Linked DNA regions of Drosophila melanogaster. Changing the gene in region 3 together with the main gene of any one other region gives a genetic interaction. Each region holds a gene or a part of one and is shown on either strand. Other genes may lie near its edges. The genes, in order: TM9SF4, Vps33B and PGRP-LC.

Region 1 (8,850 bases), on a different chromosome or scaffold from region 3:
AGTTGGGGAAATTTAAGACGATTTCGTAAGTCGTTTTGGCTTCGCAGGAAGTTGGCTTAAATGATTTTGGTTTTGTTCTGTGATTATGTGAATTATGCCAATAATTTTATGTGGAATGGGTGCACAATGTTTTGTTGATTTGTGAAAGATAGCTATATAATGTCATACATATGTTTCTTAACAATTATGTATTTTCATGCCAAGCGAAAGGTTAGTAGAACATAATTAAATTAAATACGTTGTGAAGTCAGCAGAGTTAAGGATCAAATAATAGCAATAATAAAGCTACCTGTTCAGTAACCTCAAAACCAAACCAAATGCAATCCAATTTGTTGCATTGACCGCGACTCCAAGGGCGTGGCGGAAGGGGGCGTGGCTGGAAAGGAGTGGCATTTGGCTTCGAATTGCAATTTGCTTGCCCAGGTAAATGTTGCTACAAAACCAAAAATAATAGCATCAGCCCGACGGAGCTACATTTTGATGGAAACTCTGGATGCAGAGAAAGGATATCGAGGACTCCGTGGCGAGTGGAATTGCAGAGGAATATTCATGGCAATGCCGATGCTTGAGTGGCAACAACCACAAAAACGCATTGAATGGAAAATGTTTGAATTTATATTGCAAGTTTTACTTGATTGAAGCACTTTTGCCATACCGGGCGATGCCACTTGACGCAGCCAGTTCCACCCACCCAGTTTCGCCCACCAGTTCATCCTGCTGGGTCATCTCCGCCAGTGGATTTCCGGAGGAGCAGCCACATGGTAGCTGGTCACAACTTTCCTCTAACGAATTGCTATTCATAATTTCAAGTTGGTCAATTCCTGTTTAAGCTCGGAGTACTCGGCTTCATCAAGAAATCTTTGCTGAATTGTTGTTCTGATTATGTTATCGTATAATATGAAATTAGATTTCTTGATTTACAGCAATTGAAGTCTAATATTAAGCATTATTTTTAGCTTCAATAAAATATCTTTGGTTTCTGGTATCTTCGCTTTGCATTATAATTGCACTTAATGTTATTGCTCCAAGCCGTTGCATATATCATAGTTTTAATTCAAATTTATTACATGCTTGATTTTAGTCATGGTAAACATATCAATTTTAAGAATGATATGAAGCTAAAACCCATTTTGAGAAATTAGATATTTGATAAGTGCCTCAATGCCATTAATATCGAAACTTATTATATGCATGGCATATTTAGTGCTGCTTTAAATGCAAATTAATTTTGCACTAGTTTACTTAACTTTTGCGGCAATTTCGGTCATTGAACACTGGGATGGCCAAAATCATTTCACCGTGCGATGCTTAGTTTTTATGTGGCGACCGGACGTCCCATGGCACTGGAATCACTGAATAATGAAGGCCAGAGTTTAAACATTAATTAGACCCATCGATGCGCAGCCAACGAAAATACCTATTGATAGGACCCGGGGACCACGTGTCCTGCATGCCAAATACGCGTCACGTAAGCGAGCAATCCGCAGGATACGCAACTGGCGAAAAGCTGCGACGAACTGTTTAATGTGGATAACAATTTCGGGGGGGTACTTTTGTGTGGCACCTGCAGAATTGGCAGAAACTAACCGCAAGACAAAATCCGTCGCACAAGTTTGCCGAGGAGTTTAGCGCCATTCGACTTTTTTTTTTTTTTTTGTATGCGTGGCCTGCGTTGATTTTACGACATTTTTGGATGCGATTTCCATAAAGCAAAGTCCCCACGGCTAACTCCATAAAATTACAAGATACTACCTGTTAGAAGTTCCTCTTTGCCCAAATTCCAATAAACTCCCAGCACAATATTAGTTTTTATGCGGCGCCCAGACAAAAAATATAAAACGAAAGCCATCCGAACAAGTATACTTGCAAACAAAAAACGAAGAAAAGTTCGGGACGAGCGAGAGTGTGAGGGGAAAAAACTGCGAAATCATTTAAGCAAACAGTCACAGACTTTGGCAGTCTTCCGTTGGATCTACGATACCTGCATGGAAAACTTTCTGCTATGTGACTTTCAGAATTTTTAGTTTTGATTTCAGGAGTTTGGCCGGAGTTGCCATTGTTGTTGGCAGCTTAGTTTTGGTTTTGGCCGTAGCTGCAAATATTGCAAGTTGCGCCAAAGTCACGTGCAAGTTTACAGACATTCGGTTTGGTCTGGCACTTGGCACCCGTAAAATGGATTTCAGTCAGAATCCGGTTGCGTTGTCTTTAAACTGCAGTTTTCCCGGCAAAGAAGTTGGTATCTCTTTAGTGTGAAACAGAATGGTTTGTGGAAACTCTATTGGTAAAATTATTAACAAGGAGTAAGTCAGAGAATCATATCAAGAATGGGAATGGGAAGATCTTATTAACTCATCTTATAACTTATATCAAAATGGAGAAGCATTAGCTAAGAAACTTGTTATTCTTAAATAAAAGAGTGTAGAACATAATTTGGAACCTTAGTTTAAGTACAATATTGTTTTAGAAAACGTATTGAAATCGTAAGTAAACGAAACCATGTAAGATATCTGTAGTTAACTATACCTATTGCCTTAGCCGACCTCCAATCTCAGCTCGAACAGAGTGAATACGCCACATTTTAATTTAAATCGGAGGCATGCCCCAGATTTTGAAGACCGTCGCTGGCACACATCCTTTCCAGCTCCAATCGAGCGTGCGTAGGACGCGAACTGCTCAACACCTTTTGCAGTGAATGGAGCATAAGAAATCATATCAAGTGCTTCAGCGTACGGATATAATATATATAACAATTTTCACGCCATTTTCCTAACACGTTATTTGCGCGTATTTCATATATTCTTGCTGCCACGATGCCAGCTCCTCGCCGCGTATGTGAGTGTGTGTGTGCGTGTGAATTAGCGGCAAACGGATGTTGAATTGGTTTGCCTTCGTCTCGGCTTGCCACTCAAGTGTGAAGGTGTGCGTGTGTGTGTGTGTGGTCGTTACACGTGCACATATACAGAACATTCAATGTGTGTGTGTGTGTGTGGAGGAGCATCTTGTGGCTGGTTTCCTGGTCCAATGTTGACTGCTTGTTTTTATTCCATTTTTTTTTTTTTTTTTTTGGAGCGCAGGATGTGCGCAGTCCTGGCACGTTGGCGCGCTTAAATCAAAGCAATTTGCCAAGCACAATCGTGTTGTAAATTATCGCCGCAGGATTTTGTTTTATTAAACCGGGAGTAAGTGTGTCTGTGTGTGAATATGCGATAGGGTCTGCCTCCTATTCGTCCTGCCAGCTGGCCGAGATTCATCGAGCTCTGGCTCGGCGTGGCACTGATTGCTGCTGGGATTATGTGGAGGGACGCATTTAAAGTACTTGCGAAGTAAATTTACTAATTTACAAATAATTCATACATCAGAGTAGTTAAATCTCAATTTAAAAAGTACTGACAAGGATTTTCCCGTTTACAATAGTTACATTGATAACAATATATATATAATTTTGGCAATATACTAGTTAATACTTAATAATTTTTAAATATAACCATATCATAACTAATTAAATCGATTTAAAATGTACTTGCATTATAATTGAACTGTAATTTTTACACACAAAAGCACTTTATCGACAGCAAATATTTGTTATTTATTTAGGCACAGTTTACAGAGTCAGTTTGGGATTTTATTTGGGAATTAACAGAGATTATGGAAATTGTTGATAAGCAAAATTCGGTTTGAGTAGTTAAGAGATTTGCCTATAAATTACAGGCGTATTCTTCAGCGTCAATCAGTTTGTAATAGTAAGTGAAACCAATGAGTTCAAAGAAAAATTGTTGATGGAAGCTTCCTTAAGTAGTATCCATTAAAGGGTTGTTCTCAACATGCAAATCAACCTTTTGATGTACTACTTTAAGAATCTCCAGTTAAAGTCAACACATAAGTAGTGATAATGCAAGAGTATTGTATCGGAATTAATTAGAAATTATATATTTAAGTAGTGGATACAAAGGGCGATTTGATATAAAAGTGTCGCATTGTATGACCTACTTAACTAGCTGATTTTGTATCCCAACATAATAGGTTAAAAATTAATTCGAATTTTGTGAGCTGGGATAAAGTACCAAAGAATTTTGAAAACTGCACATTCTTTTAAGACAAAATTTTACTTTCCCTTGTTTTTTTTTCCAAATTGAGAATTTGTTGCCATTGAAATCGCAATCTGCATTGTTATTTATAAGAACTCATTAGTAAGCCCGTGCGGATGCTCTTGACATGATCGATTTCTTGACAAGCATCGCTTTCTGTGTTTACATGCATAAATCAAAGTTGCGATAAGGTTAATACAATTGCTTGCTTAACACCTTGTTGCCAGTGAGATTTTTGTCTGAAAGAAGCTGGCAGATAGACAGACAGACAGCCGAAACGATTTAGCCAACATACGTAACAATGTTGCCAAAACAGCGTGACAGCCCCAAAATCAGCAGCACAGTAGGAACAACAATGGGGCATTGGGGCAGTGTCAAGCAAGCAGAAACCCCCCCACTACCCACCACCACCAACTTACCCCCACCAAAGTGGTGTTAAGGCCACATCACTGCCATTTTTGCCATTCTTTAGCCATTCCGCAGCACGTGTGCCGAAGCTGCGACAATGAGAAGTGTGTGTGCGACTGGGTGTGTGACTGGGTGGGTTATGTGAATGATTTTTCACTTTTGCCGAAATACATTTTTATAAATTCTGACAGGGCATTTGTTGAGCCCGCTGCCTTCGATACCGCTGGGAAAGTTGATAAAAATGTTCTGCTCCTCGGGAAAAGTTCTTCCTGAAAGGAATATACAAGGTTATTCGGTGCAAAATGTCCATCGTTGTTTGGGGGGCATGACTTATCGATGCAGCTGGAATATTGATGTTGGAATAATAAAGATACACAGTTCGGTGTATATAGGTTTTTTGGTCATGAAAAGCTACCCAAGACTACGGGACCGACTACGGGACCGAGTATGCCATATTAACCGCTTTATACCATTATAAAAACTAAGATATAAGCTTCCATTCCTTGCAATGAACTAACTCCTCTCATATGTTGATAACAAAATGAGCCATCAACGACTGTCTAAGCAGTTCCACTCCCTCTCCCCGGGGACCACAAGCAGTTGGGATAATAAACCAAATAAATATTATAACTTCATCAGGGCTCAACAGTCCTCAGCTGCCACAGCATCCTCAAAGTGTTGAGGCGCAAAGATTGATGATAAGAGAGATGTTTGCGAAGATGACCCTCGACCACCCACTGACCCCCCGCTATGATGGAAAAAACGTATTTCTTTTCGGGTACGTAACTCAAATATTTCGCCCTAAATTCCACGACTATCAGCTGCCCATCGCCGGCCTATCATCAACTCATAATGTTGACATTTTTCCCACAGTTCAATGGGCATCGAAATACAAACGTGTCTGTATTCCTTCTGCTGGGCGTTATCTGTAGGTGGTTGAGGCTTCTTCTGTCTTTTGCCTCCTGACTTCGGATGTATCTGAGACTTGGAGTGGGGGAGATGAGAAATGGGACAACACGGGCCGTTCTTTTGTTTGATTGACTCGACTTGGCCTTTGTTTCAATGACTCGAAACATCTTGATGATGGCTTGTCCAAATACGGACAACGATGGAGCAGCGTTTGTGGGTGTGGGGACTTGAATGGAAGACGTGCTATTTGATTTCATCTTATTTTTGTAATTTCTGGGTTCAGTGCGCAGCAAGTAGTTAAATATATATTTTCATTTCGTCATTTTTCTCAGCTTACGTACATACCATATGTATGTGTATAAATATCTTTCTATGACATAATGCTTCATTAGGCAGCGACACCCGCACATCTGGAAATGAAAGAAAATCGTGGAAAATTTCTGGGCTTCTGTGTTGATTTGTTTGCCCGGCAATTATTATGCTTATCGCTGACACAAATCGCCATTTAATTAGTTCGATGCCATTGTGTCGTGTTTGTAGACTTCCCATTGATTTGTTGACACTGCCTAAGTTTGTCAGCAGCGAAGGCCACTTGTCCATAATGCTCGAGTAGGCTAATAGGGATCACGGGTCTCTGTGGCTGACAGCTGGCAAATATTTTCCCACTTAAATATCATAATTGGCTCACTTTATTGCCATGACAACTCACGCGAAAATTAAAGTGATTTAATCAGTTTGGTGGAAATGGGTACGGTAATGCAATTAAAGAAATGGCTTTTGTTGCTCTTCAAACTGTGTTAATTTCGCTAATTAAATGTTTTTTATTTCTTTTTTTTATTTCGAAATGAGGCGAAAGCGCGGCTAATAGATTAAACAAGTTTTTATTTTTAATAATTAATGAATTGTGTAAATGTGTAATAAAGAAAATGAAACCCATATTTATATTAATTTCAATGCTGGCTAAATAAAGTGCAGCAACGCTCAAGCAAATGGCAAATATGAAAGCCTTTCGATAACTTAATTTAAAACATAATTGTATTAAGAGTCCCTTTTATATATATTTTGCAGCTTATTTAAGGTAAGAACAAACTTGGTAGCCCTGGGTAGCCGAAATTCAATAAATTTAACTCTTTAGGTGCAAAAACCCATACGGCCAATAAATCATGCGCTTGGCCAGGACATAAATTACAATTAAAACTGAAATATAATTATGTTATCTGGGTAACTTTTCATTGAGGCAGCAGCAGCAGCATCACATCGAGTAGCTCACAAAACATTTGCCACATTTATGTGTGCGGCCTTTGTGCGACTATCTCACCTTTTAGCCAACTATTAATTATGTCCTTGCTAGACGGACACAATAGCCAAAATGTCGCAAAAGTTTTGCTGTTCGAGCAGTTGTGTTGGGCCCTTTGGGCTCGTTGGCGGCCATAAATCTGCATAAGCCGAATCCCCAGATCTCTTCACACCCGATATCTATCTATGTGTATTTGTCGCATCTTAATTAACATGAAAAGTGGCCGCAGTTCGCCATTTCATTGGCCATTCGCCCCATCTGGGACATCTTAAGGACAAGCCATTCAGATGCACTCCCTGCACTTGGTAAGTCGATTAATGTCGGCGTCAATGCAACTATGCAGCTTCGACTTTTAGCACTTAAAGTGCATTTGCCATAAACTTGACCACTTTTCAGTTTCACAGGACAGTGGCGTGCAATTTTAAGGATATAGTAACATTAGGCAGGAGATAATGAGTATTTATAGGTAATTTTACAAATGATGGCATGTTTTTCCTGTAAATTTGTATGTTTTTCTTGAGGATTTAGCCTTGAAAACTGGGGAACCCCTTTTCTTTTATCCCCATTCTCGTGCGCCACTGTTGACACTGTTGACTCCTTTATTCCTTGCTGGTCAGCTGGCTTAGTAGTTAGTACATAGTTGGTATCTGTTGGATGTGTCGCAGTATTTTATAGTTAAACTTTCGCCCGACCACGCCCAATGCGCTCTCCCCTCGACAATCCCATGGATCGTACATTTTGTTTTCCCTGCAATTTTCTTCGTTGTTCTACACAATTAGCAGCTATTGCCATTTCGACCCCCTTCGCGTTATCCCTGTGTTATCCCCAGGCTTCTCCTCTCCCCTTGCCCCCTTGCCCTCGTTACCCTTTGGCCAGTTTGTTTGTTTGTGTGTCCTTCCCCGTTGGCCGGCTTGTTTGCCTTGTTAGTTGCCGGTGGGCGTGGCTCATTGTACGAGTAATATGCGTTTTAGATTGTAGACACTGTGCCCCCTGGTCATCTTGTGTTTCCACCAATACACCCAACCCCGATAAAGTCCTTCAGCCACATAGTGTACCATGTATTCCCCCGGTTCCTGTGACTGTGACTTGCATAATGAGTAACATGTTTGTCGTAGGCCGCTGTGGCTTGGCCAAGAAGCCCACCGTTAATGGCCAACAATTGAAAGCGTTTAAGGAAGGGACAATGACCTGATCAACTGCTGCGATTAATATCTTTGGTGGCAATTTAGTTTCATTGATTTGAAGTTGACCTTTAATAGAAATAGCTCCATACTTAAGATAACTAAGATATAATTTAATTATATCAGCTCTAAAGAAACATATTTACTTGGCCCATATTTTAAGAAAGATCCCTTTTTCAATATAAAAAATATGTACCTAATAAACCCTTTATACTTATATATTACTTATATATTATGTTGTTAAGCAGAATATTTAGAGGTTATCCAGTTTGTTTAAGATCCCCTTGTTCATTCGCTGATTTTTTTTAGCCTTAGTCCAATTGCTCAACTGGCTGTTTGTGATTGTTCCTGTCTCTTTCAGGCTGTCCAACCGAAAGGAATTGGATGGAAAAAGTGAGCAGTCGGACAGACGACTATCAGGGCCATCAGCAGCAGTTGCAATTGCGAGGCAGCAGCAACAAATGATTTAGAAAATGATTTATGGCACACTCATCTAATTACCAGGACCCGCAGAGTGGACCCAGGAACCCGGATACAGGAGCATTCGGCAAAAAGCCATGGCCATGCGAAGGACCCTACGCTCGGATGACAATTGCGTACCATTTGTAGCCAATGTTTGCCGCTGTGTGGGTGTGGCATGAGTGTGTTTGTCAGCAACATCATTGGCGACATTAATGACATACGCCATCAGTGCGAGTCTTATGGGTGGCAGTTCCAGTTCCAAGGATCCCCTCATCATTCCCATCATCGCCATCATTCCCATCATGCGCCAGTTACGCCAGTTACCAAGCCTTTTTCCGCGACTGCATCGCATCAATCGTCATCAGTTGGGAGCGAATGTGTTGCGGCTGTAAAATGGGTTTCGTATTAGTATCGCATCAATTATAATTTCTAGCTGACATGCGAATAGCTTCCGGATTTGTTGCAATTTTTCAGCCCCACTCTGTTGCCACTTTGATTGCCAGTGTGA
Region 2 (8,178 bases), on a different chromosome or scaffold from region 3:
CCAAGTTGCCCAATCTCTTGCTTCATGCCGAAAAGGAGCAGATGCGCCTGCTGCACGAGCGAGATCCCGAGGAATGGAGCGTTGAGCGATTGGCCGAAAGTTTTCCCGCCACTCCGGACATTGTGCAGAAAATTCTGCGGGCCAAGTGGCGACCGAGAAGTGTGCAAAGGATACGCTCCCACGATGAAACCGTCATTAAAAACTGGCAGCTTTTAGGGACGGGAAAGGGTGACTTCAGTATCCCACCGTCTCTTCTCCAGCATCTGCAGAAATTCGCCGAGCGAAGGTGGCAGGATCTGCGGGAGCTTAAAATCCAGGATTGGCCCACAAAATCACAACTACCGACTCCGCAAGGCAACGAATTCCGCAAACTGCTGGGCAGCAGTAGTAAAACAACAGAGGAGATGCCTACACCACAAATCCCATCCGGCTATGAAGCTCCACCCTCTGCTGCCGAAGATGAAACCTATTTGTTGGACAAAATCCGTAATAAAAAGAAGATGCGGCTGCAGGAGCTTAAGGAATTGCAGCTCGTTGAGTCTGCGCCCGCAGTTCCAGAGGAAATGAAGCGGCCCATCGAGAATCCCAGTGGCACCGGATTCCTGCCCAGTTTCGTGCCCAAGTTTGCGAGCAGCGAGATTGTGATCAGTGCCGCGGATCAGCGCAAGTATGAAATAACCCAGGTGAAAACACGCATTGTTATTCCCCGGAAACTGCATCGCCAAGGAGCCACTTACCGGGTGGAGGATGCCTATTACGATGACGATGGAGAGCTGCTCTACCGAGTGCCTGGAATGACCAGAGCCAGTGGTGATAAATAGCAAATGCCACTTTTAGGTAATATTTATTCGAAAAGAGCATTGTTTAAATTGTAAATTTCGAAAATTGTTAATCACAAGCTTTGTCATCATTGTTTTGTATAAAAATATATAAAACATTTGATACACAGATTCTTAGTTACTTCATGGTCAGCGGTTGAAGGCGGTGGCGATCAAATCACTGCCCGCCATTAGAGAGTCGGATGCCACGGTTATTTGGGCGCCTGTTAGCTTTGCCACAAAATCGCAGGCGGCGATTTCCGCATAACTGGCACCACCCACAATGAATACAAAGAGATTCCTGAGACGCAAGGGGAACATATCCTGATCTGCAACTCCGTTTAGCTTCACTTGGCTGGCATAGGCCTTGGGCGTGATTTTTCCGCTGTCCAGGTGTAGATGCAGCCCCTCAATCATGCCCAGCTTCGAGGACAACTCCTCAGCACTATTGATTTTCAGCAAAATGGAGCAGAGCTGAGCCACCAATGGTATGTAGGTGCCATTGAACACAAAACTGGGACAGGTCTGCAAGCCACTGGATTGGCTCTTGGAGGAGGAACCTCCATCCTGACCATCTCCACTGGAGGTCAACAGCTTTAGCCGATTAGCATTGGCCTGAAACTCCGTTTGCTGGAACTTGGGCAGAGGTAGATTTGAGAGCAGTTTCGTTGGCGCCTTTTTCTCCACCACAAGTGGTGGCAACAAGCCCGCCTGCGACAACTGCTGGAACACGCCCAATTCCTGGTGTCCAAACAGATTGCAGTAGTTCCGCGCAAATATCTGCAGCTCCTCGGGCGCCACGCCAACGCAATGATGCAAGAGGCACAGCAGTCGCAGTGTATTAAATCTCTGACCATCTGTGGTCAACAGCTCGTCGATCTCGCTTAGCAATCGCTTTCTTGAATCATTGTTTAGTATGTCCTCCTCCAGCGTTTGGAGCTTCCTGAAGTTACCCATCATTTGGATCACAATCTCGCTGGCATTCAGATGCCTAAGGACTTTGCTCTTAAGCTCGGTTAGTTTGGGTAGCTTCCTGGCCACATAGTCATGCATCTCGTCCAGCTGCATGTCATTGAGTTTCTGCAGTTCCAAGCCCAGGGCTTTTACTTGTGCGTGAATCAAACTGCTGACCTGAGCAAATCGTTTGTACCGATTATCGCCGTAGATCTCATCGGATGTGGAGTTAAGACGAATGGAACACGGCTTGCTGGCTGAGTTTACGCCTATCTTGGATTTCTTTCCCTGGAGTAACTCCACACGCTGGCTGCGGATCTTGTTCTTGGAATTGTCTACCAGAATCTCGCCAGAACTATGCTCGAAAACTTCCAAGAGAAGACCTGCATAGATGGCCGGAGTGAGCAAGCTGGCGGGGTAATCCTTATCCCGATCGATGACCAGCCAGCCGCCATAGTCTGGAGGATTTGTGGGCGCCGGAAGTTTGCCAAGAGTCTTCGCCATTTGCATTAGCTGCGACGAGTGGTGGCCAAAGCTCAGAATCAAAGACGGTTGTCCGCAAATCATCTGAAGCAATCGCAGGCTCTGGGCCACCGCAGGCAATGGAGATGTGTTCTTCTGCAGGTAGAGACACTCGTAAAGCTGAATAATAAGAATATCCAGTATAAAAGACTCTTTTCTGAATGTTCAATGTACATCTACTCACATTGGGCAGCTCCAAGCTGAGAACTCCCTGATCAAAATAGATGAAGTCCCAGTTAAAGTGATGAAGTTGCACCAGTCCGTACAAACCAGCCTGTTCCAGCAGGGTTTGAAAATAGGAGTAACAACTGGGCACACAGACTATGTGATACATTTTCATGGAGATGTCGGGCATTTCCTCTGAGGCCACGGGTTGCAATTGCTTGAGAAGTGTCTGAAATGTACCCAAAACACTGCGGATCATGTAGATGTGCACCTGATCGGCGGATCGGGGCAAAGATTGTGCCGCATCATGTTTGTAGATCCGTTGTATGCCCTTCAACCTGTTAAGGGGTATATATAAGACGTAAATATCCATAAAATATGGATTAAACACCTACTTCAGCCAGGAGGCAGTGACAACATGTTCCAGTGGCTTTATCAAGTCGGGCTCCAAAATTAACTCCTTCTTTCCAGGTATGCTACATAGTATGGAACAAAGCTGCAGTCGAATTGCAGGTAGTTAATAGTTTCACTCTTCCGATTCATTATTATACCTTTTCTTGTGCCACCAACTGGAATCCCTGCAGCTTTTTGTCCAGCGTCAAATCCATTCTTCGCCGCACAACACAAACAGCTGATGCAGCAAGGTAGCAAAATGTAAGGTGACGCACGCAAAATAAAATAGGGTTGTCACAAAGCAAATATATGCAGTTTTTATTACGTAAATGTTTATCGCAGTCAAAAAAGCAGTATTACTAGTTATTCTATACAATACATTAAACAAAAGCTATACTCAAATTAATTATTTTGAACTTATGCTACTACTGACGTCACAAAGTGTTGAGTCACCATTAAAAGCATTAATTGTGCACAGTCTTAATTCCTGCCGATCCAAAACTTATTTTCAAAGTTCGAGCTATCCGGTTTGTTAAACAAAAGTACTTAATCTACTGCTCAGTTTGATTGCATACCACTGTGCGAAGGCTGTTCGCTCACGAACTATCGAACCGGTTCGCCATGCGTTCCCATCTTTAGACGGGTATTTAAGCGCGATTCGCTGCAAAAGTGGCAGTTTCGTTCCAAATTCCGAAGCGAGAGTTTGTCGTGGGAAGTTGTTGCGCGCGCCCTGTTCGCATTTATGTGTTTTTATCGTGATTCCGTCAACCGAAATCATATGTTTTTAGCCAGGAGAGAGACGATTGCCAAAACAGCAGCAAAACGGGCGGAGTTCTGCGGTGGAAAATCGAAAATTAGCAAGCGCACGGAACACACTGTGATTGGAGCGAATTAAATGTGAATCAAAATATGGTTAGCCATTCGAAAAGCGTGTAATAAAATCGTGAAGAAAAACCAGAAAACAAATTTGTTATCGCTCTCTGTCTCTTTCTCTCTCCCATTCTCGCTGCGATTTGCTCTCCGTGTGTTTATGTCTCAGCTGTCCAAGTGTGTGTGCGGGTGTGTGTGACGTATGTGCGTGCAAGTGTTTGTGATTTTATGTTGTTGTCTTGCCTGCTTTCGCGTGAAATTCAACAACAACAACAACAGCAGCGGCAGCAACAACAAGCAAAGCAACAGCCAACAACAAATTTAAATTGAGATTTTCCATATTATCAAAAGTTACAGGCGCCTATTTTGCAGTTATCAGGTGAGCTTGCACTTACATTGTTTATAAATAATTTGGGTTTGGCGCATGTGGGTGAAACTGTGCAAAAATATGTGAAATATTTAATCTAATGACAAAAATAGCCGTGCGGTCTGGTTTGTTGTTGTTATTTTGGGCAATTGCAGCTTGTTGCATGTTCTCGTCTTCTCTTTTGTGCCGCAGATTCGTCTCTTTTTTACCGCTCTCTCCTTCTCACTCTGTCCTGCTTGCAGTTGTACATTGTTGCCTTTGTCAATCATTATCTTTGTGTTTTCGCTTCGTTCTGTTTTTGTTTTAGTGGCTAACATTATTTTCTTATAGTCCGTGTGTGTGTCTTCTTCGCGTTTTCTTTGCGGTTCAATTGTTGTTGCGATACCGGTTTGAGCAGCTGTCTCGCTCGGGCACGCTGCACAGGTTGCTGTTTAGATTACTTTTAATTTTTCTATTCTTTGCGCTCCCGTGCCTTCTAATCGCATCTTCTTCTTCGTGCTCATCTTTCTAATGCCCGTTTCTTATTGTTGTTGTTCTTGTTGCCCCTCCCAATTATGCTTTATTTGTTTGTATTTCCCTCTCTCCCATTAAAAATAAGTTTTTGCCATGGGTTTTATAATTTATTGGCCTTTCGATTTATTTAAAAGTTTAATTTTTGCCCAGACTGTTCAACTTTTGCTAATTGCCTACAAGTTTTAAAAGGTTTTTAAGTAGTTTAGCTTAGAACAGGTTTTGCAACAGTATGTTTTGTTAGGAGAGTCACGTTAGAATGTTTCAACTATATATGATTTTTTTTAATATTTATTGTTTTATAATTGAAAGCATAAATAATGTAAAATTTGCGTTCATATTATTTTTCTTTTTATAATTGTAGGTTTGCTCTCGAAAGTGCGAGAAATTTTAAACATGAATCATCATTTCAGAACTAAACAAATCTTAAGAGATTTGTTTGTATTGCATAAAATACAAACAATTTGATTTTCTTGTGCTGAAATTAGTATTACTGCTTAGTTTCACCATTATATACTAGATATAGAAAAAATCATTAGGATCCGCTTTAGGAATAAATCTAAAAGCAAGTTAATTATCTTTACTTGAAATGAATTTTTATTCCGACTAATGCGACATTTTATTATTACTCATAAGAGTGGTTAATCGTTAGTTGGATTAAAGAAGATGTGGATTCCCGTTAATGGGAAATTCCGCTGAGTTTATCGAGGCCATCGGCGTTTCTCAATTCGATTTCCAGTCCGAGATGCGCTCTTCACTCGCTTAATAAAAACAATAATAAGCTGAAAGCAAAGCAAATCGAAATAATTCATTTGCATTTACATAGGTAAATAAACAACACCATCACCCGAAGGTGATTCCAATCCCAATTCCAATCGCACCCCCATAAATTCTCTTGCCAAAGTTCGGCACTAATTAAAACCTGAAACAAATTACACATCTACGGGAGAAGAAAACGAAACAAGAACTCGTGCAAACAGCAATGATTTTGAAAAAGAAAGCAGAAAGCATTTTTGCAACGTGCGTTGCTATTCGTTACCCCCCACCCCCTCCAAAAAATTTACCCAATCCCCAAAAAGATTCTCGTTTTGGTTCGCTGTGTGGAGGAGGCGTGTGAATTTTCGTCGGTTTGATGTCTGTTTTTGCTCTGCTCATTTCCACGCTCACACATCAAACCCAATTAGTATTGTTCTTCTGTTGGCATATGGCAAATATTTCCATTTGTCTGTTTGTACACATATAAATTGCTTTGTATTAGCTTCGTTTCACTCTCTTTTTCGATCTCTGGTGTTTGGCGTAAGTCTGTTTAAAAATGTAATTATTCCCATACTTGGCGGGTTCTATTTTTGGGCAGCATTTTCGGTACATTTTGACACATGTGTGTGTTGGAAAAATGCGATTGAAGTTTATTCTTACGTTTTTTGAACATTTGCCAATACTGCGTCGCTTTTTAGCTGATTTGTGTGCTAGTTTGGTAACGAATTCATTTTACATGATTAGGTATTTTTAATTTGTATATTTCTTTTACAATATTTTTAGACCCAAAAAGTGAGTACATATATGCATGTACATTTAAAGAAAAGTGAGTGCTTTATTTTAGCACACTCATCAAAAAACCGCAAACAATCGCGGCAATTCGCACTCATGCGTTTCTTTACGTTAGGGTGACTCACTCGACTCACTCGAAGACAAGACAAGTAACAAAGAATTGTTCATTCTACGGCATTCTTCGCTCTTCGGCTTTCATCATTTCTTTGGGACGGACGCACTGAGCCATGTTTGTTTTTCTTGCGCCGAACCAGAATGGCGAAAGTGAACCCAACTCGAGTTGGGAGACACAATGGATATATGTTGGGGATGTAGAATCTGGGATGGATGACTTGCTCTGACGTACAGATAGTGTTTGTGTGTGTGGTTTGCCTGCCTTGAGCAAAGTATTTTGGCGCGTGTCCAAGTAGAAACAAAGAAAAGCAACGAAGGTGCGGCAAATATAGCGAATAAATCAGCAAATCGTTACTTGGCCACTATATTCGTGGAACTGAGCCTAAGAAATATACTTGAGAAGTATCTAAACGCTACAGATGAATTAATACATGAAATACATTCTCTAGCACATTTGTATATTTTGGAAAAACGTATATTTGAATGAGGAAGATGTGTTTGAGAAACAAGATTCAGAACAACTTTAATTTGTGCATAAAATTTCAATTTAAACTGATAGATGGCGATATATTTGATTTTTGCTTTTGCCTATTCGCAATGGCCAAAATCAACTTTGCACTTATTTTTAGAATAATGTAAATACAAACAGTCGATAAAATAAACAACTTTGATTAGAGGTCATTGTAAAATTTTCGACTTTGGCCGCTGGAAAATTGCGAATTTAATTGGAAATTCGGGGAAAAAATTTATGCAAAGCAGCTAGTCGGCCATTAGGTTAACTTGTTTCGACACGGCCAATTCATTTGAAGATCCTACATACCTGCCCACCATTTCACACCAGCGGCTTTCACAAGTCCGGGGTTTTCACATCCTCGTCTTAAGCGCGCTGCCTAGCCGAAAAATGACGGCACTCGAGCGCAGATGAAAAATCTTTTGGTTTGGTTTTTCTCGCTGGTCTGGATTGGCTTGGTCGTGCAATCTCCAGTTTAGTTCCCTCGAATTTTCTCACCTTTCTCAGCAATTTGAGCGCGAGGCAACGTGCCACGCATAGCTGAGAAGGCGGAAAAGCGTTTGACGCAACTCCGTCTCAGCGTTTTCCCACTTTCCCTCGATCTGCCTGCCACACGCCCCCACCGCCGTCCTTTGTTTATTCGGTTCAGTTTGAATTTCCCGCGATGTCGCCGGCCAAAAACAAAAAAGGAAAACAGAAACCAAACAAAAGCGGAACCAACTAGTTAAGTTAACTCTCTTAGAAACTGCCGACATACAAAGAAGACCAGAGATGTGGGAATTTTAAACCTCGCACCGTTCTCCGGACACCAAACTCCGGACAGAACGGACACCATACCACGGACAGCCCAGAAATTCAAGCGTTTTTGGAGCTTTAACAAAATAAGCATTGTTATTAAGCTTATTTATTTAAAAAATAAAATTTCTAAATACTATAACCGAGAATCTCCAGTGTCAACACTATTTGCCAGAGTTCTTTTTTTTTTTTCTAAATTAACGAGGCGATGAAGACAAAAGGCTAGATTTGAGCAATTGAAACGAGCTGAACTTTTTATTTTGCACTTTGACTCAGCGGAAATTTCTTTTGTTTTTCGTTTGGCTAGTTCCTGGAGTAGACACCAAAAAAAGCTACAAAAACACTTTAAATCGACCGGATATTGCAAATTTTACGTTTCTTCTGGTTCAATGGTCAGTCGTTACTTCTTGTGCAATTCTTTGTTGATTCTTTCTCTGATAATATTAGTTACGATTAGGATTGTTTTATGTTCTCCACTTAACAGCTGAAAATAGAAAATATAGAAAGAAAAAAACATTTTTACTCTTTTTATGATCCGAAAATACAAGTGCCTTCATTTGGGTTAAAAACAAATAACTCCAGAATCAAGAAAAACTATCGATGCATTCTGT
Region 3 (8,604 bases):
TATAAAATCAAAGATTAGCTTGCTATATATTCAGTATTTCTTCTTACGCTTCACTAGCCCCTGTTCTAGGATTTCCAATCGTTTTTCATGTTCCCGCAGTGACTTTTCCAACCACTTGCTCATTTGTGCTCCAATTTGCACCCCATTCAGACAGTTGTCACATTTCCACCTTAAATTGGGCACCATTTCCAGCAATTTCAACTGATCCTCGGACAATTCCGTGCATTTGCGATGACAGGACCGACCACAATAAACATTATCACACTCGATACGCCTGTCATTATCTACGATTATCCCGTGACACTTTAGGCAAATTTCAAGCGTGTTCCTCGACATTCTCCGATCGCTTTATATGAACAACTGAAACCGATCGTTGGGTACTTTTCCCGATCCGCGCACATAGTATGCAGGAACTGTTCTTGTTTTTCACTTTTTCATTTAGCAAGTATTTAAGCCGCACGCAAAAAACCCCCCCGCTTTATATGAGTATTTATTGCGTGATCCAGGGGAAGCACCTGCCTTTATAAAAACAACACTTAACTACAGCTGACTAAATTTACACTCGAACCCCTGGTTCAATTCCAATTGGAGACTTTCGCCAACCAGAACGGCGATTTAATTATGGTAATTGTGAAAATCAATCAAGTAAACAATTGCAGTTGCTATGGTTTTTTTTTGTGCGTAATTATCGCAAGTTTTCACCGATTTGATTTACGAGCTGCGGGGCCTTGAATCGGCAGAGATACATTTTCTTTTCGTGAATGAAATTTTACTTGTTTTTTTTTTGTGCTGAGATTGTAATCGGAAAACAGGGAGATAAAAAACGAGTTCTATAAGTAATAAAAAATGTATTAATATTAAAAAATCCCCCGACACTATTGGCGTTAAAACTTTTTCTCTCATGAATTTTATTTTATGTGAGACAAATTTTGGGTTCGTGATTTTCATAAATATTTTTTAATTTTCAAGCTAAAATATTTTCTATACGTAATAAAATTATTTGGCATTTTAACAAAATTTTCCATAATGAGTTTTGTTGCCTTGCGCAATTAAATGCATTTAATATGTTTTTATAGTAACATGTAGTATTTGTTCTAGGCGCATACAATGAATCTGTCTGCTTTGTGGGCCATCTGCTAATCTACCATTCGCAGCACGGTCGTTAGACCTGGCCAATTGGGTTGAGTAAACAAATAGTCACACGCGCTCAGTTTTGGCCCATTAAAGCAAACAGAACCGCGGCAAGGTGAAGACAGAAATGAAACGCAAACAAAGGCAGCAGGAAATAGCAAAATAATATATATATGTTTTAAGGATATATATCCCAGAAAATATATATTTTAGAATAGAAAACTAAAAAGTTGAAATTATCGAACTAACGATCCTCAAGAATAACTATGCAGAAAGATGCGAAAGCAATCGAAAGTTACAACTTTTAAGATTCCATTCTTAGTATAGTGTACAAAAACTAAACGATATCAGATTTAGATTTTAAAATACAATCTATTAAATTAGCTTAGAATGTCTTACCCGGCGCACTTCCATTCGTGCTGGGACCACCATTGAATGCGGGGTTATCCTGTCCACCAGCTGGTCCCTCGCCCGGTTTCCACTTGTCCCGATTATCGATGAGAAACTGTTGTATCGTCACGGGTCCCTCGTAGAAATGCTTATCACCGAACGTCACATCTGTGGAGTTGGTCAGGGCGATGCTGCCAATACCCTGCGTGGCACCGCCCGCCGGCGATGTGGGCGTGGCCACGGCCAGATTACCGTTCAGTATTTGCTTGGCCACAATGCCAGCTTCCAGGGGATTGGGTGGTGGTACTGCCGCCTCACCTGGCGCCACATGGCGACTGATCACCGTTAGACCCTGGTTAAGGTCGCGCAGGTGTGAACTGTTGGGCGGGTAGGTGACCTGGTGACCCAGCTTCTGGACCGTATAATCCTCCGCTTCGGCCTCCGAATCACTATCAATACTACTCGAGTCGATGGCATTATCATCGATGGACACAACGGAAATTGTGGTACTCCGTATGGAAACCGCCGGCGAAGATGTCTTTCCAACATTTTCCGTTGTTATATTGACAGTGTGCTCAACGCTGATACGCTTGGATTCCGTTTTCTCTTCCGATTTCGATTGGAACTGCCCTTCGCCCGTCCCCCGATCTTTGGTCTCCTTCTCCGGCCGGAATGCCGCCACATTATCGTTTAGTATAACGCCCGAGTCTGTGGACGAAGTACTGCAGTTTTTTGGTCCAGTCAACGGATCGTTTACTCTACGTTTCGCATTGGAACATTGGCTCATTTCCGTTTCATTGCTAAAAGGCATGTCGAACTATCGTGACAGTCACGTAACCAGATTGATATTTTCTCTGGATCTCTGAGCGTTATGTGTTAGCCTTCCTATTTAGCAGATTGGGCGGTACATTATTTTTCGTATGGCAAAACGGCTGACTAGGCACAGCTCTCGGCAAACATCACATCATGAGCATCTGCAAATAAGTATACGTTTTTTTTTTTGTTGGTCCCGGTTAACTTGATGATAATAAGCTAGTCAAACGTTGTCAAATTTCGAAGAAATTTTTTGTTTGAATTGGGCTAAAGTGGGCTTAACTTTGGGGAGGCACTTTGGCTTTATGGTGCACTGATTTTTTTATTTTTGATAAAACCACATAATTCCCTTGTGTGCAAGTGTTTTTAGAACATTGATAAATATATGTATATATTTTAACAATGTATTGCTGATATTATATTATGCGATAAGCTAAGTGATATTTATTTGATAGCTTTGAGCATTATTAAACGGTTTGGATAACACACACAATTTAGAAAAATATTTCGTCAGTTCTTTAATACTTTTCAATTACACATGCTTTATAAAAGTGATTTTATTGTTATCACAATCCATTAGATCGTTCAGTTGCAATATGATTTATAAGTACAATCAACGCTTTTAGTTCATGTATACACGATTGTTGATAAGCTCGATTGCCAACAGAGTTTTTAAAACGCGAATAAAAAACGTTGCTGCTGTTGTATGGCAGTGAAGTTTGTATAATTAAGATATAAGGGTATTGAATAGTGCTGGAATATATGTGTATGTATACAGTTGACTTATATTGTATACTCGTCAAATTCGATTCAAATAGTTGGTCAGTAAGCTCGCACGAATGCAAGGCTTATGCAAATTAGCTATAATCATTGACGTAGTCTATTTACTTAAGTGGATTCCGAGAAACACAAAAGTAGTAGTTGTTACCCATACATATGCATGTTATGCTTAATTTTGGATATTCGAAAGCCACGAGTGACGTCTTCAAAAGGCTGAAAGATCATTATGGGCATATGCCGTGACGTCTTGATGATACGTAGATACGAAGGTTTCCGAAGAGGTGTGCCAATTTCAAAACAGTAACTCTATTTTAAAGAATTCCGCGAATTGTGATAAACTCGATAGAATTGAAAGGGTGCCTTGGAGGGTAGCGACTTTATACTTTAGAATCGATGTTCTAGAGAGTTGGCACAGAGCACGCTTTTGAGATAACACCAAATGGAATACACCGAATAACGACAACGGCTACAAATGAGAAACGGAATGGCATTTTGAGTTTACCGAGCGCACCAATACACGTGCACGGGAGCGGCGGCCATTGTCACTAATACACGCACAGATCATCACAATATGGGTGCTCTTTGTTTTGGTTGTATTCTGTTTGGAGAATCGATAATAATTAACAACTCTGATGTTTTACGTGTTTTCAAAATTATCATTAAATATGGCCTATGTGCAAATTAATTGATTTTCGATCGATGTTTCGATAGCATGTTTTCTTTTTCACTTCCACGAATTTCTTTCACTTCCTTTCGTGTTTCGAAAGGCTAATTAACATTCCTGGAACATAAAACGATTGGAGAAACAAACTAGTTTGCACTTAAATATCGATATAATTGCTCAATTATTTGTCACTAGTCATATAATAGGATTATGATTATTTTGCGGTGTGTAATATTCTATATAATCACTCTATATTCTATTCTATATTAACACTTTGCATATCGTTACGCACTTTAAATTGCCGACGAAAACCGTTGCAGCTCGTTTGATATTTGAGCGTCTATACTATATAGCCAATTTGTAAGTCGAACTTTTTATACCGTTTCGCGCCAATTTCGAATCGTTGAGCAGCGGCGCGTTCGAGTGACTCTGATCAACTGAGCGGCGATCAAATCGCAGCGGCCTGAAAAGCTGGAGCGTCTGATATGGCAGCGTGTGGGGAGCGTGTGTGAGGGAGAGCAGATCGCTGAGAAAAAAAAAACAAAGAGAATGATGGGGAGAGAGCGGTCGGCGTTTTTGCGTTTATTTAACCAAAGTTGTTTAATTTGAGTCCGATTTTCAGGCAGTCCAACTTGTTACCGATTTGCATTTTAATAAGTGATTTCTCAAAAGATCTTAAGAGTGCAACTCAAAAGCCTTGTTCCAAAAAACTTCTAAATCGTTTTAGAAAATATAATTTTTTAACATATAGTGTTTACATATTACATAATATGAACGCGTTCTGTTGTATTTTCTATCCTTTTTGTAATCTAGCGTTAACCAATAAAATGCAATGATTTAAATTTTCCTTAAAAAAAACTGTACATTTTAATAACTTATGATAGCGGTACAACTTTTTCTCAATCGAAACTGGTTTAAACGAAAAGCGAGTGATCCCAAGAAACCGAAAGAATTCCGATAACTGCATCTGGCGAGCTGCATATTTCGGTTTTTCCGAGCGTCATTAAGTCGCGGAACCTGTTCTCGATTTCGGGTTTTTTTTTATAAATCTTCCAGATATTAGTCAAATTTATAACGATACCTCCAGCTACGCCCCGTGGCTCGAGAATGGTCTCTCCAACTTCTCCCACCTGACGATGACTGTTTGTTTTTGTTTAGTTGTTTAGTCGTCCGCACCGACATCGACACAGACAAATCGGCGTATACGTATTATATATGTACATATGTATGTATATAAATATATATATTTTTTATTTATTCAACCAATAAACAACACAAATCTCCGGCTCTCTCCCGTCTACCAAAACACTTACAGACATTGCAGTGTGGGCAAAAATGTGAACATTTTAAATTGCGCTACCATTTCCGAGAATTGTTTTGTTTTGCGGCCCGCAATCGGTTTTTGGCTATTTCACTTTGTGGTACAGGCCAGTTATATATATATATATGTATACATATGTACATGTGTACATAGCTCTTTTTTTTCTCTTCCAATTCCAGCTTGACCCATTGTACTTGTGTTGAAAAATATTTAATGTAATTATAGGCGAACGGCGGTTCGGCGATCTCTGATAGTCTGAAAAGGGCGCCGGGAAACTGTTGATGGATAAAACGTAAAGAGCAACAAATTGGCGAAACGAATTCCGAACACGCTTACAGAAAAGAAAAATAAAAATATAATTATAAGTGGAAAGCGCAACGAGCTTTAATCGAAATAGTTGTAGACTATTTATAATATTTTTTCTCTCAGTGTTCCTGACTTACTGATAAGCTTGTTGAGTGGCCTTTAAAATGTATTATTTTATTGCAGTTAAAGTTCTACACCGAAACATCTAATGATTTATGCCTTTTGTAGCCAGGCAATCTATTCTTTGTTGACCCATTATTTTATTGCGAAAAATGCCAGTAATTATTGTAAATCATTTCCAATGAAGCAGATAATAATTTCTTTACAACGGTTGCGAAATCAATCACCATAGCTATTTTAATATACCTACCTCCACATATTTTCTTACCTTAATTATTATTAATTATTTTTACTTTTTTGGTTCCCTCTTCGCATATGTGTTTTTTTCTTCTTCTTTTTGGTTTTTACACGTGCCGTACTCTCGTCATTGTTTTGGCCAAAAATTCGTTCCGCGTTGTAGGTATAATTTTTTTTTTAAGGCGCCGTGAGATTAATTAGTCAATGAATGTATGTACGTCACTCTTTTGGGCAGGTTGGACTTTAGGTCATTGATGAAAAGAGGGTTAAAAGGCACACCCACTAGTTTATTAGCTTTCCATGTCGTCATAGTTTCAGCTCATCATTTGATGCGCAAGTTAAAAACATAAACATTTCGAAGGAGTTTCTTTTTTTTTTTACCAATATAAATCATCGAACGTACTTCTCTGTTGAGGGCTTTGAACTGAAGGTCGGTGATGATAGCAGATCTTATTGGCAAATATCCATTTCATTTTTAATATATTTCTCTGCTATTACCAGTCTTCCTGTAAATAGGATTGTAATGACTCCATATGATAACAAAAATAAAACATCATTATTATCATTGTACATATATTCACGTTGAAAGGCAGATAAATGACAAAGGCAGCCACAGCGATCACAACATCGTCTATATAAGTGAAGTGAAGTGAAGCTACCGATAATGATGTTGTACTGGCGCACAAAGGCTCTCATATATTTACACACACACACAGACACACACAAGATCGATGAGTGTTAAAGTCTATGAGGGAATAAAAGGGGTACTGGTATTGGCACTGATAGAGGTTGACTGCGGCTTGGGAATTTCCAGCTTTTTGAGCGACAGTAAAACTAAACAGAGCTCCAGAGAGGAAGAGAGACACTATATATATATATATTACTATAAATAAACCGCTTGCTCCCAACCGGTTTACTTTGGTTTCGAAGCCAGCATAACCGATTAAAAGAAAGCTCCATTCGCCTTAGTATATGTATTAAAATACAGTTTGTGCTTGGTTACACTTAGGTGGTAGAAAAGTCTGTAGCTATTGCTTGGCGTCCCACGATTCCGTTTTCATGCCCAATTCGATGCCGCAGGCCGGTGCTTCGTCCATTCCGCAGCCGTAGAAATGCGGCCAGTTCCGGATTTCTTGATACACATATGCACCCGGGCTTCTGGTCACCTTAGTCTGGAAAATATTCAATTAAATTATTATGTCACCAGATATGCCAGATATATAGTAAGTAATTATACCTGATTTTGCGCCACTAGTTTGTAGTCCACATCAATATTTCGATTGGCCACTGCATGGGCCAGCAGAAATTGGACACCTTCCAGCTGTTTGGGACCGGGCTTAAACCGGCCATAGTCGCCCATAAAGGTAATGGCCAATGTCTGGTTCGCATACGTGTTGGCCCAGTCCCAGCCGCGGCCAACGTAGATGTTACCCTCCTCCGAAACCTGGTCGAAACAAATTCGGAAATTTGACAATTTGCGTAAGCGGAAAGCGAAATGCCCAAAATGGCACGTGAACGTGATGGGAACACAAATGCACGCGCCGGGATTTCTTTTCCCTACTACACTCGAAGAAATTTTGATTTTTAAGGCTTAAAAAGTATTATACAAGGCTTATTTTAGGAACTATGTTTCCCATTGAGGCGCGTAAAAGAGTGCAGAACAAGAACAGGCTTACATAAAAATTGGATTGGATATCCGGCAGACCCTTCTCAGCAATGGCTGAATCCTGAATGGTGCGCATCTTGATGGAGCACTTGTAGATGTTATCGCAGGGCAGAGACTGCACTCCAATGTGGGTGATTAGGACGTAGGGAATGGGTCGCTTCAGGGGAATGGTCAGACCATGAGAGTTCTTCGACGCTCCCCACTGCTCTCTGTCGACGACGAGATGGCCGTTTCCTAGATTCGGAACTGTAGAATTGGTGAATTGGCTATATGGATTATACAAGTGCCATCCACTTACACGTTTGGTGGTCGTAGTTGTTGCCAAAATAGATGGCTTTATTACTGGGCAACTCGGGCTTGGGTCGATTGAGTTCCACGTAGAGCACAATCAATCCGGTGGCCAGGACCAACAGGATCAGCGTGATCAGCAGGATGGTGTTCCGAGTGACCCGCCTAGATGGCGACTTATCACGACTTCGATTGGCGTTGCCATTACCATTGGCATTGTTGCTGTTGATTCCTTAATTAGCGAAAGTCAATCAATTAGCATATGATTCACAAAAGCCAAGAAATTGTATCGTTTCAATGGATATATTGACTTAAAATGTTTTTGAAACATTTTACGGTTTTGCATATCAAAAGCATTTATATTTCTATAACAACAAACAAGTCGGAAACTTAAAATCATAATCTAGAAAATTTAAATAATTTTAAAACGTTTTTAAGCTCAATTATCTTTCAGGCCTCTAAATATTTTTTTCGGTGTCGGAAAACACGGATCTAGTTAAGCCTGTGAAAGCGCTGAGTAAATCTAATTTATTAGTAGATATTAGATTTTATGTATGTACTTGATGAATCCCGGGAGTGGGCTAAACTGGGTTCGGGTGTACGTCTTCTGCGCGCCGTGCGTTCCGAGTGAACTTTTAGTAACAGTTTCATGGCACTTCGATCCACTAAGCTTATCACACCTCTTCGTTATTGGACACAAAACACGGCATTATAAGCCTATATATCTATTATGAGTAATTGACCACTGAGTCATCGGTAACAAATATCATAGCAAATACTGGGAACAGCGGTGGTCTGCAAATTGATTGTTTTATAATGTGGTACAATGGGTTTGACCGATAATCGGACGGCGGAGTGCCACTGGTACCGCCACCGCACCTGAACCCG

Evidence for each region.
Region 1: of PGRP-LC (region 3) and TM9SF4, changing one suppresses a phenotype caused by changing the other (phenotypic suppression), as found in Drosophila melanogaster (one study listed by BioGRID).
Region 2: of PGRP-LC (region 3) and Vps33B, changing one suppresses a phenotype caused by changing the other (phenotypic suppression), as found in Drosophila melanogaster (one study listed by BioGRID).

Annotation. Positions count from the first base shown.
Region 1 is NT_033779.5:13,742,764-13,751,613, reverse strand, and holds the start of TM9SF4 (transmembrane 9 superfamily protein member 4), read right to left. Parts: upstream 4,663-8,850; 5' UTR 4,505-4,662; exon of another isoform or gene 3,726-4,504; intron 1-3,725.
Region 2 is NT_033777.3:25,468,405-25,476,582, reverse strand, and holds Vps33B (vacuolar protein sorting 33B), read right to left. Parts: upstream 3,094-8,178; 5' UTR 3,068-3,093; coding exon 3,011-3,067; intron 2,956-3,010; coding exon 2,855-2,955; intron 2,798-2,854; coding exon 2,479-2,797; intron 2,415-2,478; coding exon 969-2,414; 3' UTR 827-968; downstream 1-826. Other genes in the region: CG4553 (uncharacterized protein), read left to right, coding at 1-821.
Region 3 is NT_037436.4:9,336,056-9,344,659, reverse strand, and holds the start of PGRP-LC (peptidoglycan recognition protein LC), read right to left. Parts: upstream 4,223-8,604; 5' UTR 4,071-4,222; intron 2,496-4,070; 5' UTR 2,333-2,495; coding exon 1,531-2,332; intron 461-1,530; exon of another isoform or gene 337-460; coding exon of another isoform or gene 48-336; intron 1-47. Other genes in the region: PGRP-LA (peptidoglycan recognition protein LA), read right to left, coding at 6,791-6,934, 7,000-7,206, 7,439-7,674, 7,727-7,948. UniProt on the Drosophila melanogaster protein: Major activator of the imd/Relish pathway and is likely to encode a pattern recognition molecule for the humoral immune response. Required for Relish processing and nuclear translocation following proteolytic cleavage.